Saccharomyces cerevisiae S288C: one gene and its partners. Changing the gene in region 3 together with the main gene of any one other region gives a genetic interaction. Each region holds a gene or a part of one and is shown on either strand. Other genes may lie near its edges. The genes, in order: RVB2, RBP95, RSA3 and CKB2.

Region 1 (3,517 bases), on a different chromosome or scaffold from region 3:
CTTGAGTTGTGGGCTCTGTGTGGGATTTGCCTGTTTGAGTAGTGGCTACGCCATTGGTATGGTCGGTGACGTTGGTGTTAGAAAGTATATGCACCAACCAAGGCTTTTTGTCGGTATCGTTTTGATTCTAATTTTCTCTGAAGTTTTAGGGTTATATGGTATGATTGTAGCTTTGATTTTGAACACTAGAGGCTCTGAATGAGTCAAAAGTTTAAAAAAAAAAAATAATTACAATAAAAAAATTTTTTCTCATATACACGCACCAACCCCCTTCATATATGTATAGAATATAGTATATATTATAATACTGCTATCTATACATTTGATAATCGATAATTATTCGAAAGAAGGTATATCATACGGGGTTCTGAACGTGCTGGCCAACTGCTGCCTATTTTAGGTGTACTTTTTTACTTCTTATCACCAACAATCACGCAAACATAAAATTTTTATTTATACATATATATTTGATGCAATTTCTGCCTTAAAGTACAAAATGCTTATTCCGTAGTATCCATGGCATCAGGGTCTGCTGATTTAGCAATGGATATTTGAACGTTGCCCTGATCATCAATATATTGTGACTCGTTCTCTTGAACATACTTAACAGATCTAGCGCTGTCCAAAAATAGCAAATAAGCCCTTTTGACATCTTCCACTTCAACAGTGTTGTTTTTTCTCTTCATTGCAATTTGCTGAGCAACAGAGATTAAATTACTGCTGTAACGCAAACTAGTTTCCACACCTGTTTTGGTCAATAGATCTAAGGCATCGGATGACAGTTCAACTTCCTCCTCTTGTGCTCTTATAGATAAAATTGTCTTAATCTCCTGCTCATTATAACTTTTAGTTGTAATAATAATTGACCTATCCAAAAGATCGAGAGGTAACCCATGTGGAGATTTGTAATTAGTCCCTCTGGTTTTGGAAACTCCTCTATTTGTAGCCATCATGACGATTGGGGCAAACTCATCTTCCAAAGCCCTATTTATAAAGGAAAAACATTCTATATCCAACATGTGGACTTCGTCGATAAATAATACACCAGGAACAATTTCTGCTTTACCTTCTTCTTTCCATTCTGCCACTTTTGTGTTTATCTGGTCTCTTACCTCTGACCTAATTTCACCGGTGTCACCAGTAAATAATGCCAAAAATCCTTGTGTTCTTGAATTAATAACATCAATTTCATGCAGTGACACCGTGTGAACCACTGTTTTCCTTTTTTGCAGTTCGCCTTCCGGACATTGAACAAATCTGGTATCAGCACCCATGGCATCATAATCCCTAGATCTAGCAAAGGATCTGCCTAGCTTGGTAATCTTCCCACTAGCTTTATCAATAGAAATAACATCGCCAGCCAATACCTTTTCTTTAGTTAGGCCATCAATCATTTTATTGCCTAATTCATAAATTGTTTCCATATCGGTAGTTTTAATAGTCAATTTTCCTTGTTTGTGTCCACCAGTAATAGATCTATCAATTTGAATTTCCACGACTTCACCTTCAATCAATTCTGTCTCCTCCTTGATTTTGATACCGATGGATTTCCTAAAAGCTTGAGTTAGTGCTTCAGTTTTACTCAATTCTAAAGAAAAGATTTCTGAGCCCGCAATAGCAGTGAATGGTACATCTTTACCCAGAGACTGGGAAACACCCATGGCAAGAGCGGTCTTACCAGTTGAAGGGGGGCCCGCTACCAAAACAGCCCTACCTGCTATGGTGCCATTTTGAACCATTTTCAATATCACACCAGCAGCACGACGGGCTTGCAATTGCCCAACCATACCTTCGGATGTGGGACGTGGTTGCAAGTTTTCATCTAGACCTAAACCTGTAATATGGGAGTGGGCAGCAATTAAAGATAACGACTTTAAATCTGATGTTTCATTTGGATCACTAGTTTGAATCGACATGCTGACAATTTTTTTTATTTCCTTTCAAAGTAACTTGTGCTAGACTGCTAGAGAAAGTAGTATTGCTGGCTTCAACTAACTGAACTTCTTTCTCTCGTTTCCCGTGTGAATGTACAGTCTTCATTTAGCTTTCATCTTCTATTGAAAACCTTCAAAAAGTTCGCTGAAAAAAATAATTTTCACGTTTCTTTCAAACTGATCACGTGAAAGGGAGTTAAATAGACTTTAATAAGTGTAGAAACAAAGAAGTAAAGAAAACCGCTATATTGGGTCTAACCAATACGACTGATACAACTGTGTTGACCCCCAAAGTTTACATAATTTGCTCTTTTTCTTTTTTGCAAGATCCTTTCTGTTTTGATAAGTCCTGTCTTATGACACCGAGTTAGGGACATTTTCGGTATCTGGTTTTGTAAGATGTTGAACCATACTTTCTCCAAAAAGACGAAACAGAGAGTAGACAAAAAGAGCCTGTAATCTCAGCGACTGACTAGGGATAAAATAACGATTGTACCATCTTATCCGATCAATGATTTCTATTGTATTGGAATTGTTCCAGAACTTGTGCTGCTGTCGCGGATTTTCCGATGCTACTATTAGGGTAAATGATAAACGATATAGGATTCAACGACTACTTGGAGAAGGTGGAATGTCCTTTGTGTATTTGGTACAACTGTCAAAGAATTCTCTGATTATAGACAACGGCATCGCAACACCAGAATTATACGCACTAAAGAAGATTATTTGTCCTAGTGTGGAAAGTATATCCAATGGTATGCGAGAAATTGAAAATTACAAACGGTTTCAAAGTCCTTATGTTATAAAAAGTATCGACTCACAAGTAATGCAGGAAAAAGATGGGTCAAAAACAATTTACATAGTACTACCCTATTATTCATTAGGGAGTTTACAAGACTCTATTAATCGGAGGTTACTCGAGGGCACCTTTGTATCAGAGGCAGAATGCGTAAGGATAATGCTTGGAGTTACAAGAGGTTTACTTTGTTTACATGATCCTGCGTCAAGACAAGATAACGCTACTTCCAGAGTAAATGTCGATGCGGTTTCTATGACTTATAGCGATGAAACGGCGATGCTCCTAGAAGACACCCCCTTAGAGATGGACATGCTTTCCTCCAACTCAGCAGGTTCAATAGCATATGCACATCGCGATATTACACCTTCAAACATTTTGTTCTCTTCAGACGGTTTACCAGTAATTGGTGACCTCGGCTCCTGCTCTCAAGCTGATATAACAATTGAAAACAGACATCAACTCAGCGAACTACAAGAATGGGTCAATGACAATTGTACGTTGCCATATACTCCACCAGAACTTCTGAACTTGAAATTAAATCAGGTTTTGAGCTCTAAGGTTGATATTTGGTCTTTGGGTTGTACGTTCTATACTTTAATGTTCGGTATCTCCCCCTTTGAGCGAGAAGAGCAGATACATGGAGCTTCTTTAACCTACGCTATAAACACTGGTAAGTACAGTTTCCCGAGAAATTCCAGATTTTCTGAGGGGCTTTTGAGTGTAATCAAGAAATGCATTCAAGTGGATCCTATACAAAGGCCTACTACCAGCCAATTATTAAATC
Region 2 (4,135 bases), on a different chromosome or scaffold from region 3:
AAGGATTTTCTTGCGGGTTTATTAGCAGTACACCATTAGTAGATGGATGTAATATGGACAACAAGTCAGTCTCACTATCCCCTATATACCAATAGCTGCAAGAATTTCCTTCTTTATTGCAACCTGAGTCGATCTTATCTAATATTTCACCCAGTATCTTGACCTTATCAGAGCCTGTCAATAACCGACAATCAAATTCACCATTGTAGCTTTGAGAACACTTGTCACTAACTTTTTTTAGATCGTTACAAAAAATATGACTATTTTTAAGTCTTCTGTCACCAATGACTTCATGAATAAACTCTTTTGACCAATTTATAGATAAAACGTAAAAATCACTTTCAAAATTTTTGACAACTGAAGAGCAAAACGTTTTGAAACCATCTCTTAGTAAACAATCTTCGTGATTCTGATCTCTGGCGAACGTTTTCATTTGATCCAAAGAAATCGACTTAAAAATCTGTTGTTTTGTAATTTCATTTACACTATTTAACTCAACAACCCTGTTATGATTTTGATATTTTAATTCGTCCGCAAACAACTTATTGAAGTTAGACTGCGAAATTATCGTAGGTACGCCTGAAGATAACAACGGCAGTGATCTCGTTCCATTGTATTTGTATTTATGGTATCCGTCCATATATGTCTTGGTAAAATGACCCCACTCAGGTTTCAACCGCGGGTTCAGTAGATACGGTAATTTAGCAATGGTGCAGATTGTGTCAACTCTTGTGATTGTTTCATCAAAATCTGAAATAATAATGGTTTTCATATCCTCCACTGTTCGCTTCTGGTTACTGCAATTGTTAAATGCATTGGCTCGATTGTCAACATTGCTTTGTGCGAAGAAAGGTCGCTTTTAAAGAAAACGATAAGAACTAACCTCTAACTACATAATAATAAGAAAAAAGTATACAGATAAACAAGCTCAGTAGTAATACATAAAATAAAAAGTTTTGCAAATCGATTGTCCACACACTTCTATATCAATTCCAACTAAGAAAACGAAGGAACCGACTCAAACCGGTGTAAAAGCTAGGCTTTCAATCTCTGCTCCTCCAAACAAAACTAGTGCTTGATATCACATCCAATTAAATTACGTAAATAATTTTAGAGTGACACCATCGTACAAAGAGGGCATTAAGCTTATTTTTTTAATTCTTATGAAAAAAAAAATGTGAAAGAGAGTAGAAAATTTTCATAACGAATCTCTTCTATTCTTATGTACCGTTCCGCCAAATTTTTCATGAAAAAATTTGGGAAAAAGAAAAAAAAAAAAAATAGTATATAAAGTAAAAAAGATGCGCAAGCCCGGAATCGAACCGGGGGCCCAACGATGGCAACGTTGGATTTTACCACTAAACCACTTGCGCTAGTAATCTTGATACATGATTCGAGAAAAGCAACAATATTATGTATACGGAATATACTAGGAGTTCTCTTCAAGGATAGAGGAATCCTCAAAATGGAATCCATATTTCTACATACTAATATTACGATTATCCCTTCTTCTATTTTATATGTTTCATTATCCTATTACATTATCAATCCTTGCACTTCAGCTTCCTCTAACTTCGATGACAGCTTCTCATAACTTATGTCATCATCTTAACACCGTATATGATAATATATTGATAATATAACTATTAGTTGATAGACGATAGTGGATTTCTATTCCAACAAGAACATCCTTGAAAGGTCGACTATTAACATAAGAATAAGAGAGAGTGTGTGGCCGATGCTGTTGCTATAGCTCGGTCGTAGTTTAACACCACGGCATTATTCAGCTTTAAAACAATTGAATTATAAACCTGCTTTTCTTACTACGAAAAGTGTTTCCCTTTAATAAATCTATTGTACATACTTTACAGTTGATAGTACCTTCACCATAAAAATATGCAAACGCTTTTGTTATTGGGAACAGGAATACCAACCGTTCTCATGGAAAATAGCAAAGTGTAAAAGAATTTATTATCATCGAGTGATAAAGAATATCGCCAGATCTTTACGGATATATATCGCTAAAAATATTTGTCGCCAATAAAAGATATGTCTAACGCTCCCTTTGCAGGTAGTTTTTTACTGGCATCGCCTTTTTACTGCAAATTATTGAAAATTTTCGAGCGAGAAAAAGGAACGAAAAGAGATGAGCTAAATTCAAATATCAAAGTACTGTCATAAGTGCTTTCTTTATCGACAAATTACAAGCAGAAGAAACATTCACTTCACAATTAAATGTCCGAAAATCACGTTCCTGCCTGGAAAAGAATTGCTTTGAAGAGACAGACTATAAGCAGTGGTGACGAAAGTAAAGAAAAAGGCCAATCCAATCTAATAGATGATGATCCACTAAATATCACTACGCATTTATCCACTGGTAATTTGACAAAGAAAGAGAAAAAAAGAATCATTAATGGTGAGAGCAAATCCTCTACCAAAAAAGGGAAGCGTGTGTCGAAACCAGGGACGAAGAAGAAGGAAAAATTGTCAAAGGATGAAAAGAATTCGAAAAAAAATAAAATTCTTAAAGATCAATTACGTTACCTGATAGAATTTTTCAGGACAAAGTCTGAGAGCAAGTTTCCCACCGGAATCCTAGAATTGGAAAGTGTAAAAGAAAATTACGGCGACTCCCTGATCAAAGACGAGCCATCAGAGTCTGGTGTTGTTGAAGTTTGGAAATTTTCCAAGCAAAAGCAAAATTGGCTTATTAAGCATTTTTTCAACTTGGACGAAATCCCCTCAGTATATAATGATCTTTTGCTTTTATATTTCAGGGACTTACAAGGTAAATCAAAAGAAGAACTAATATCAAAATGCAAAGGAAAACTGAAGCAATGGAACGACTATGTGGAAGATCAAGAAACAAAAATAAAAGCGTTAATTGCAGAGGATAAGGCTAGCGAACCAATTAATGGTGAAGAAAAAGAAGAAGGTGAAAAAGACGGTAATGCCGAACAAGGGAAGCAAAAAGAGGTACAAGACGAGCAAGAGGAAGTACAAATGCCGAATAAAGAGCTTGTTCAAAGAAGTCTGAAATTACTAGAAATTTGGAAGAATGATGACTCGGAGCAGATAGAACTTAAGAATTTCTTCGTTGATGTTTAACATAGAGTTCAACAACGTTGTTCAGTTGTAGTATATATTTTACTGTGAAATACGCTCAAAAAGTAGCGGGATAAATCGTTTCAGGAAGTATAATTTCTTACAAAACTATAACAAGATCGTCTAAGTAACATACATAAAGAAATCACATAAATTTTTAAAATTCGAGGTCAAAAAAATCAGGTGGATACATAACTTACCTTAAGTTATCAAGATTTTCAGTACACACAATGTGATTACACTGATTTATAAAACCACCTTACGGCCTCTTATAAGTAATAACGTGGCTCATCAAAAACATGGTAGAAGTGACCCCTCTCACCTTCGCCTAAAAACTTATCTGGAAATTTCATGTCCTCATATTCCGGTTCACTCATATGACCGTATTCATACATAGAATCCGAGTGCTCTACTAACGCTTGCTCACTCAAAACTTGGAACTTACCAACTTGTAGCTCCGTATCGGTTATCGTTCCTCTTGCAACTCTAGCATATCCTGTTCTTCTCAAGCCCCTATACAAGATATACTCACACCATCTATCATCGTCAGAAGGATCAATGTCGTGCATTCCGGATGTTTCACTAACGTACGTATTGTAGTTGCCTTCACCTGGATCAACAACTAAGTAACTTAATAAAATAGCTGGGCGAGTCGTATTGCCCATGAGCTTAGCCATGTAGTTACTTTGCAGTCTTCTATCCTCTTCATCCTCTTCTTGTCCACTATGGAATACAAAGACGTCAACGAGAGTGTCATTGTACGTTTGAAGTGTGGCATGAATGGCTGGCGCAAGTTCCCCAACTGGAGAGGGCAATAAATGATGCGTAGAATTTACGATAGGGAATTTAGAAAGAAGAACACAGCCCCAGGTATGTTTATTTGGACCTGGTCCGAAATCTGCATACATATTCAAATCATGAGCTAGTTTGCTAGTTAGATCCCTGTTCCCCATGGTAATTCTTTGTGTATCTGTTTCTAGTAGACCTACCACATCTAGTTCCATATCTTTAATAAGGTTGATCATTCTGT
Region 3 (3,876 bases):
ATTACAAGAGCACACATCTGCTGTGAGAGGGTTGGATATCATTGAGGTACCAGATAATGATGAGCCAAGCCTAAATTTACTTTCCGGTGGTAGAGACGATATCATCAATCTCTGGGATTTCAATATGAAAAAGAAATGTAAATTGTTGAAAACACTTCCAGTAAATCAACAGGTAGAGTCATGCGGATTCCTAAAGGATGGTGACGGTAAACGCATAATTTATACAGCCGGCGGTGATGCTATCTTTCAGTTAATTGACTCTGAATCTGGTAGCGTGCTTAAAAGAACCAATAAACCTATAGAAGAGTTATTCATTATTGGTGTACTTCCAATATTGAGCAATTCACAGATGTTTTTAGTATTGTCTGACCAGACATTACAACTAATTAACGTTGAAGAAGACTTAAAGAATGATGAAGACACAATACAGGTCACTTCGAGCATTGCTGGTAATCATGGTATTATTGCTGACATGAGGTATGTTGGCCCAGAGCTGAATAAATTAGCTTTAGCTACCAATTCTCCATCGCTTAGGATAATACCCGTCCCCGATTTATCAGGCCCAGAAGCTTCGCTGCCTTTGGATGTCGAAATTTATGAAGGTCATGAAGATTTGCTAAATTCATTGGATGCTACTGAGGATGGCCTGTGGATCGCAACCGCCTCTAAAGATAATACGGCTATTGTTTGGAGATACAATGAGAACAGCTGCAAGTTTGATATTTATGCCAAGTATATTGGTCATTCAGCTGCCGTAACTGCTGTTGGATTGCCAAATATAGTTTCAAAGGGATATCCTGAATTTTTATTGACAGCATCGAATGATTTAACAATTAAGAAATGGATAATTCCAAAGCCAACTGCTAGTATGGATGTTCAAATCATCAAGGTATCCGAATATACTCGTCATGCCCATGAAAAGGATATCAATGCTTTGTCAGTTTCTCCTAACGATTCTATTTTTGCAACAGCATCATACGACAAGACCTGTAAGATCTGGAACCTAGAAAATGGTGAATTGGAAGCCACGTTGGCCAACCACAAGCGTGGACTATGGGATGTATCATTTTGCCAATATGATAAATTATTGGCAACTTCTTCAGGTGATAAAACAGTCAAGATATGGTCATTGGATACATTCAGCGTTATGAAAACATTGGAAGGTCATACCAATGCGGTTCAAAGATGTTCGTTTATTAATAAGCAAAAACAACTGATCAGTTGTGGTGCTGATGGCTTGATCAAAATATGGGATTGTTCTAGCGGTGAATGTCTGAAGACTTTGGATGGTCATAATAATAGATTATGGGCTTTAAGTACTATGAATGATGGTGATATGATCGTAAGTGCTGATGCAGATGGTGTTTTTCAGTTTTGGAAAGATTGTACGGAACAAGAAATAGAAGAAGAACAAGAAAAAGCTAAATTACAAGTCGAACAAGAACAATCGCTTCAAAATTATATGAGCAAAGGTGATTGGACAAATGCATTTTTGTTAGCAATGACTTTAGATCACCCAATGAGGTTGTTTAATGTTTTGAAAAGAGCTTTGGGCGAATCAAGGTCTAGACAAGATACCGAAGAGGGCAAAATTGAAGTCATTTTCAATGAAGAATTGGACCAAGCCATCTCTATCCTAAATGATGAACAGTTAATTTTGTTAATGAAACGATGCAGAGATTGGAATACAAATGCAAAAACACATACCATAGCGCAAAGAACAATAAGATGTATTTTGATGCATCATAACATAGCAAAATTGAGTGAGATACCCGGAATGGTAAAGATAGTTGATGCAATAATTCCATACACGCAAAGGCATTTCACAAGGGTTGATAACTTAGTTGAACAAAGTTACATATTAGACTACGCGCTAGTGGAAATGGATAAGCTATTCTAGGCAGTAAGTCCAAGATATTGAGCCTTTAAAAGCAAGGCAATAGCAACATATTATTTTGTAAACTAGATATATAAAGACAAAATGCATTGATGAAGCGGAAAGCTTAAAATAATTCGATATATAATTAGGTGCCTTTACGGGCATTGAAAACTTCTTTGCGCGAAGAGCTCATCACTAAAAATTTGCAAAAAACGAAGAGCGAAAACTTTCATATATTGTAGTAATATATACAAGAATTTAAACTGCCCACTTGAAATAGCACGGAAAGAACTAGCCATAATATATTATACAGGATGTCGGCAGGTGATATATCAGCCATAAATATCAAGTCTGTCAAAAAAAACAGAAGGAGGAAGAAGAGAAGAACAGCTGATGTTTCATCATCAGATTCTTCATCATCGGATCCATCATCAGAAAGTGAAAAGGAGGAAATCCAAAATGGGGCCATCGAAGAACACGTTGGAGAAAATGGTAAAAGTGATCATGTTTTCTCAAAAGGTAATGACGAAGACAAACAAGAGGACATTGCAATAGAAGTTTCGGATGTCGAGCTTACAGACGAAGAAAGCAAGGATTTGAAGTTAAATTCAAAAGAAGTGATAGACGATTTAACCAAAATTTCTTTGAGCAAGATCCCAGAGCCTACGAAATCTCAAAACAAGGAGGGTTTTATGAATGCATCGAAAATTGCCGAAAATATCAAGCTTGCGAGAGAAGAATACAATGAATTGGCAGAAAACTTTGTGCCCAAAGGGAAAGACAAGACAAAGTTAAGGGAAGAATACTTAAATTTACTTTTTGAAAACTACGGTGATGATATCAATCGTCTTAGAGCTGCCCCGGATTTCACGAATAAATCACTATCCATTTTGGCAGATGCTCTGCAGGAAGGCATAGGAATGTTTGATATTGGTGAACTAGAATTGGTCTTGAAAAATAAAGAAATGGAGAACTGAAAAATATTGCTTTAAATCTTTTTCTAAAAGTTTGTCATGTTTCCGCGGAGAATATATTGACGTGCACATTAATTATTTAGATAATTCTTCGATTTTTAATGAAGAGCGGTCCTGATCCAAGTTGTGCTTCATATGGTATAAAGCTGATTCCAGTATACTGCACGAGAAGTATATGTATGTATTTTGTAATTTATATAAAGGCAAAAAAAAGAAAAACACTTGGGCATAATGGAGGAGAAGATCTTATGACCTGATAGTCAAAGAGAAAAAGAAAAAAGCAGAAGGAGCAAAGAAAGGCGGCGACCAAATGACGAATTAGATCCAATGAAAAACGATTCAATGCGAATAAAGGTTATCATGGATCACCTGATGGGCCTCTTGGCAATAGAAAAAGAAACTAGTTTGAAATTCATTAATATAAATAAATTTAAAGAGGAGAATATAGAAACAAATTAAAACGTAAAAGAAATGTATGTCGAGAAAATCCAGCCCAGTTCCAAGTATATAGCAAAGCTTCTCAATCCCAAATTTCTTTACAATAAATATGTATAGTGTTGTTACTTTACACTTAACCCAGTAACTTAACAAAGAACCAAGCCGCACCTGCTGCTACACCACCCACAACAACCATTTCAACACCTTCCGTAACTTTCTTTGAAGTCGAACTGCCACTACCCATGGATAGTTTTGTCTTTACGTAACCAAACCAGAATAATGTTACAACCATGACTATTATAGAATAAATGAGACCTGTGCCCACATCTGAGACAAAAAAATATGGCACTAGTGGTACTAGCCCACCAAGTAGATAACCGCCACCGATAGTGACTGCACTGATTAGTTCTCTATTCTCGGCAGGTTCGTCTAGACCCCTACCGTACCTGATAATGAAGTCAACCATTAGCTCAGGTGTTCTTTGTAAATCTTTGATGAACGAAACGATTGTTTCGTCCGAGAAATTAGGGTTAATCTCTAACAGAATGTCTTCAATTTCTCTGTTAATTAGGTTGGAGTTATCGT
Region 4 (3,127 bases), on a different chromosome or scaffold from region 3:
ACCAAAGAATGAGTAAATCTCCTCTTTTCAGTACTTCCAGATTAGTCTTCAAACAGCTTTTGAGTTTTTAAAATATAAACCGCCTCTTAGTTCATAGGCAGTCTCCACGCGATGCCGCCACTTCTCCAATTTCTTGATAAATAAGGATGCTTCCTACATTCAAAGATTTCAAGCTATTCACTAAAATAACACCAATAATTCGTGGGTAACCACATTTGCAAATTGTTGATATATAACAGGCTAACTTCGGAGCACGCTCTTTTATCTGGTTGTATTATTGCCGTAAGGGGCAATAACGGTATATAAAAATTTAATATTAAATAGGAAAAGTAAAATACGAATGGAGGTAGAAAATAGTAATATTCTAGGAAAGAAAATGCTAGGAGAACAAATGATACCTGATTTTCACAATTTTATGACGAAGTTTCTCCATTATTTTCATTTTCGTTTTCAATTTCGCCTAGGATTTCATTTCGAATTTTTTCTTCTTTCTTTAATAGTTAGGTTTTAAAACCACCACTTTTCGTCAAATCAACATCTTTGGATTCAAGTTTCTCAACTAACTTGAGTCGTTGTAGTTCTTGCCACCTTGTCAGTTGAGCTTGTTTATGTAATTCAAATCCAAATATTTTTGGAACATATCTTTTAGTTGGGTGTTTGGGTACCATATCTGGAAATGCTTGCAAAAACATACCTGGAAAACTTGTTCCAAAGTATGCACCATCAATGGAACTATGTCTCGATGATTTTGGTATATAAAGATCCTCACAAGATGGACAATATAACTTGACACAATCTATACCAGGAATGTCATGCAAACCAACCGGTAACAACTGTTGTAAATTACAATACACACGGGGACATCTTCCAAAGTCCGCCTCTTTGTACTTAGCGTACATTTTTTGCAATCCTTTGATAGTTATAATGTAGCGTGCATGGATGAGACCATACAGCTTCCGGGAATCTGATTCTAATTGTTCTAAACGGGCATGTGTCATATTCTCTAGGATACTATCATCCAAATCATCCACAATATATTGTACCACGTAGGAAAATTTTGAAACTGTCTTTTGCAAGTTCATCAGATTAAAACGATCAGTGATGTACTCAGGATCGACATCACAGAAATATTCATGGCCTTTTCTCCCAAGAAATAAATCGATCCACATATCCACGTATTCCGATGAGTCAGAGTCATCATCCATGAGGACATCATCTTGTTCCACTCTGGAGCCTTCTCTAGTCACTGTTCCCACATTCTCCGATCTACTGCCCATGATCTGCTTTTCTATCAGTTCTCTAAGTCCCTTAATCTTGAATAATTTGAAAAAAGCTAGTATTTCTCAAGTAAAAGATTGATGAAAAAATACAGCAGGAAAATTCCACGTATCTGGAATGACCAACTTCTTTAAGAATGTGATTTACTTATTCTATTTGGTGCTTGTTTTCATTTGATAAAGGATTGCCAATACACCTCCATTTATTCGCTTTCATATTTTTTCTTCCTGGAAGGTCGACAAAAAAAAGCGCGAAAAAAATATCAGTTAATTCGGCTAGAATTATGAAGTCTTCATAAAACAATATACAAAAAGTGCTAAATCGTCCATACAGAGGAATACGCCACGCAGCAAAGGAGTTCCTACACAATCCGGAACAATGAGATTATTAAAGTATCCTTTGGATATTCATAATGAACAAGTGAATGCCTTAGCTGCCCTTGGTCCCTATATCATATTGGCAGGCAGTGGGGGTCACGTGATGGCGTGGAGACAACAACAACTAGTCGATACTGCATTCGATAGGGTTATGATTAAGGATTTAAAGCCAGAAGTTTCTTTCCAGGTGGATCAGGATACTACCGGTGATATTTTTTTCATAACAGGTGATCTCGAAACATTGTATATTGGATCTGAACATCGTCTGTGGGGTTATTCAGGTTGGCTCTGTAGAGATACAAATAACATCAATTCTGTCGAAAAAATGAACAGTAAGCTTCTGTTCGAGTGTAAATCTCCAAGCACAATAACGGATGTGAAATATGACATAAACTTAGGTATCTTATTTGTTCTTTTAAGTAATGAAAATAAGATACTATTATTTCGGCATAAAACCTTTGATAAACTCTCTGAAATAACTATTGACAAGGCGAGCAAACCTATTACAGGCATAATAGATCCTACTGGCCAAACTTTTACTGTTATGACTTCAGATAGATCAATTTTAGTCTATCAAATTAACAAAACGGGTACACACAAACTCATAAATAAACTTACGCAGCATGTACAAATGTATCCATTACATTATAGAATCTCAATGTCACCTCAGGCAGACATTTTACCAGTGATAAACTCGGTGAAAGGTGTGCCGAATAATGCTACCAGCTGTACCGCTTTACTTGACAGAAATAACAACTACAAAGTTACAAAAACACTGGTAACACCTTCTTCAAATGGATGTAGAGTTCTTGTTTATTCTCCAGCATTTTATGAAAAGCCTAATTTGAAAAAGGGCACCAGCACACGCTATAATTTAATCGCCACTTCGGGATCTACAGACGGTACTATTTTGGTTTGGAATACGAAGAGAATGAAACCTTTGTTTAATGCTCTCCAGGTTTCCTCCACCGCAATAAACGATATGTCTTGGTCACAGGATGGGTTCACCTTGTTTGCCATTTCAAACGACGCGACATTGTATACATTCGCATTCCAAGAGAAGGATTTAGGTGTAGCATTGCCTCAAACGGAAATCAAATCGTTACAAGAAGTAAACAAAAAGCTTCCAAAGCTTGAAGAGCCGTTAGCAGAACAAATACCGAAAAGTTTCCCAGAAAACATCAAATTAGAAGAATCTGCAAGCGCAGCACCTATTCCAAACGATATTGGTAGATCTGCCGTGGGCAAGAAACCGACCAAAAAAAAAACGGCTAACAATCAAACTAATGGCATCAAAACTATCCAGAGCACATCAATGGAATTCAACACTCCATCATACACTGTGCCAAGGGATTTGAAGAGAAAGCCAAAAGAGGCAACTCCAAGTAACATTGCCCCTGGCAGCAAAAAGCAGAAAAAAGAGCTACAGCCAATTGACTTTTTAGATACCGGCTTGCTCCTACCCAATACGT

The links.
Region 1: mutations in RSA3 (region 3) and RVB2 impair growth when combined (synthetic growth defect), as found in Saccharomyces cerevisiae (2 studies listed by BioGRID, with this or other methods).
Region 2: mutations in RSA3 (region 3) and RBP95 together harm fitness more than expected from each alone (negative genetic interaction), as found in Saccharomyces cerevisiae (5 studies listed by BioGRID, with this or other methods).
Region 4: mutations in RSA3 (region 3) and CKB2 together harm fitness more than expected from each alone (negative genetic interaction), as found in Saccharomyces cerevisiae (3 studies listed by BioGRID).

What each region holds. Positions count from the first base shown.
Region 1 is NC_001148.4:101,631-105,147, reverse strand, and holds RVB2 (RuvB family ATP-dependent DNA helicase reptin), read right to left. Parts: upstream 1,917-3,517; coding exon 501-1,916; downstream 1-500. Other genes in the region: VMA11 (H(+)-transporting V0 sector ATPase subunit c'), read left to right, coding at 1-202; putative serine/threonine protein kinase ENV7, read left to right, coding at 2,446-3,517. UniProt on the Saccharomyces cerevisiae protein: DNA helicase which participates in several chromatin remodeling complexes, including the SWR1 and the INO80 complexes.
Region 2 is NC_001135.5:141,399-145,533, forward strand, and holds RBP95 (RNA-binding ribosome assembly factor RBP95), read left to right. Parts: upstream 1-2,235; coding exon 2,236-3,108; downstream 3,109-4,135. Other genes in the region: CTO1 (Cto1p), read right to left, coding at 1-772; CWH43 (Cwh43p), read right to left, coding at 3,375-4,135.
Region 3 is NC_001144.5:577,342-581,217, reverse strand, and holds RSA3 (Rsa3p), read left to right. Parts: upstream 1-2,193; coding exon 2,194-2,856; downstream 2,857-3,876. Other genes in the region: U3 snoRNA-associated protein UTP13, read left to right, coding at 1-1,900; CCC1 (Ccc1p), read right to left, coding at 3,425-3,876. UniProt on the Saccharomyces cerevisiae protein: Required for efficient biogenesis of the 60S ribosomal subunit.
Region 4 is NC_001147.6:403,918-407,044, reverse strand, and holds CKB2 (casein kinase 2 regulatory subunit CKB2), read right to left. Parts: upstream 1,278-3,127; coding exon 501-1,277; downstream 1-500. Other genes in the region: HIR2 (Hir2p), read left to right, coding at 1,657-3,127. UniProt on the Saccharomyces cerevisiae protein: Regulatory subunit of casein kinase II/CK2.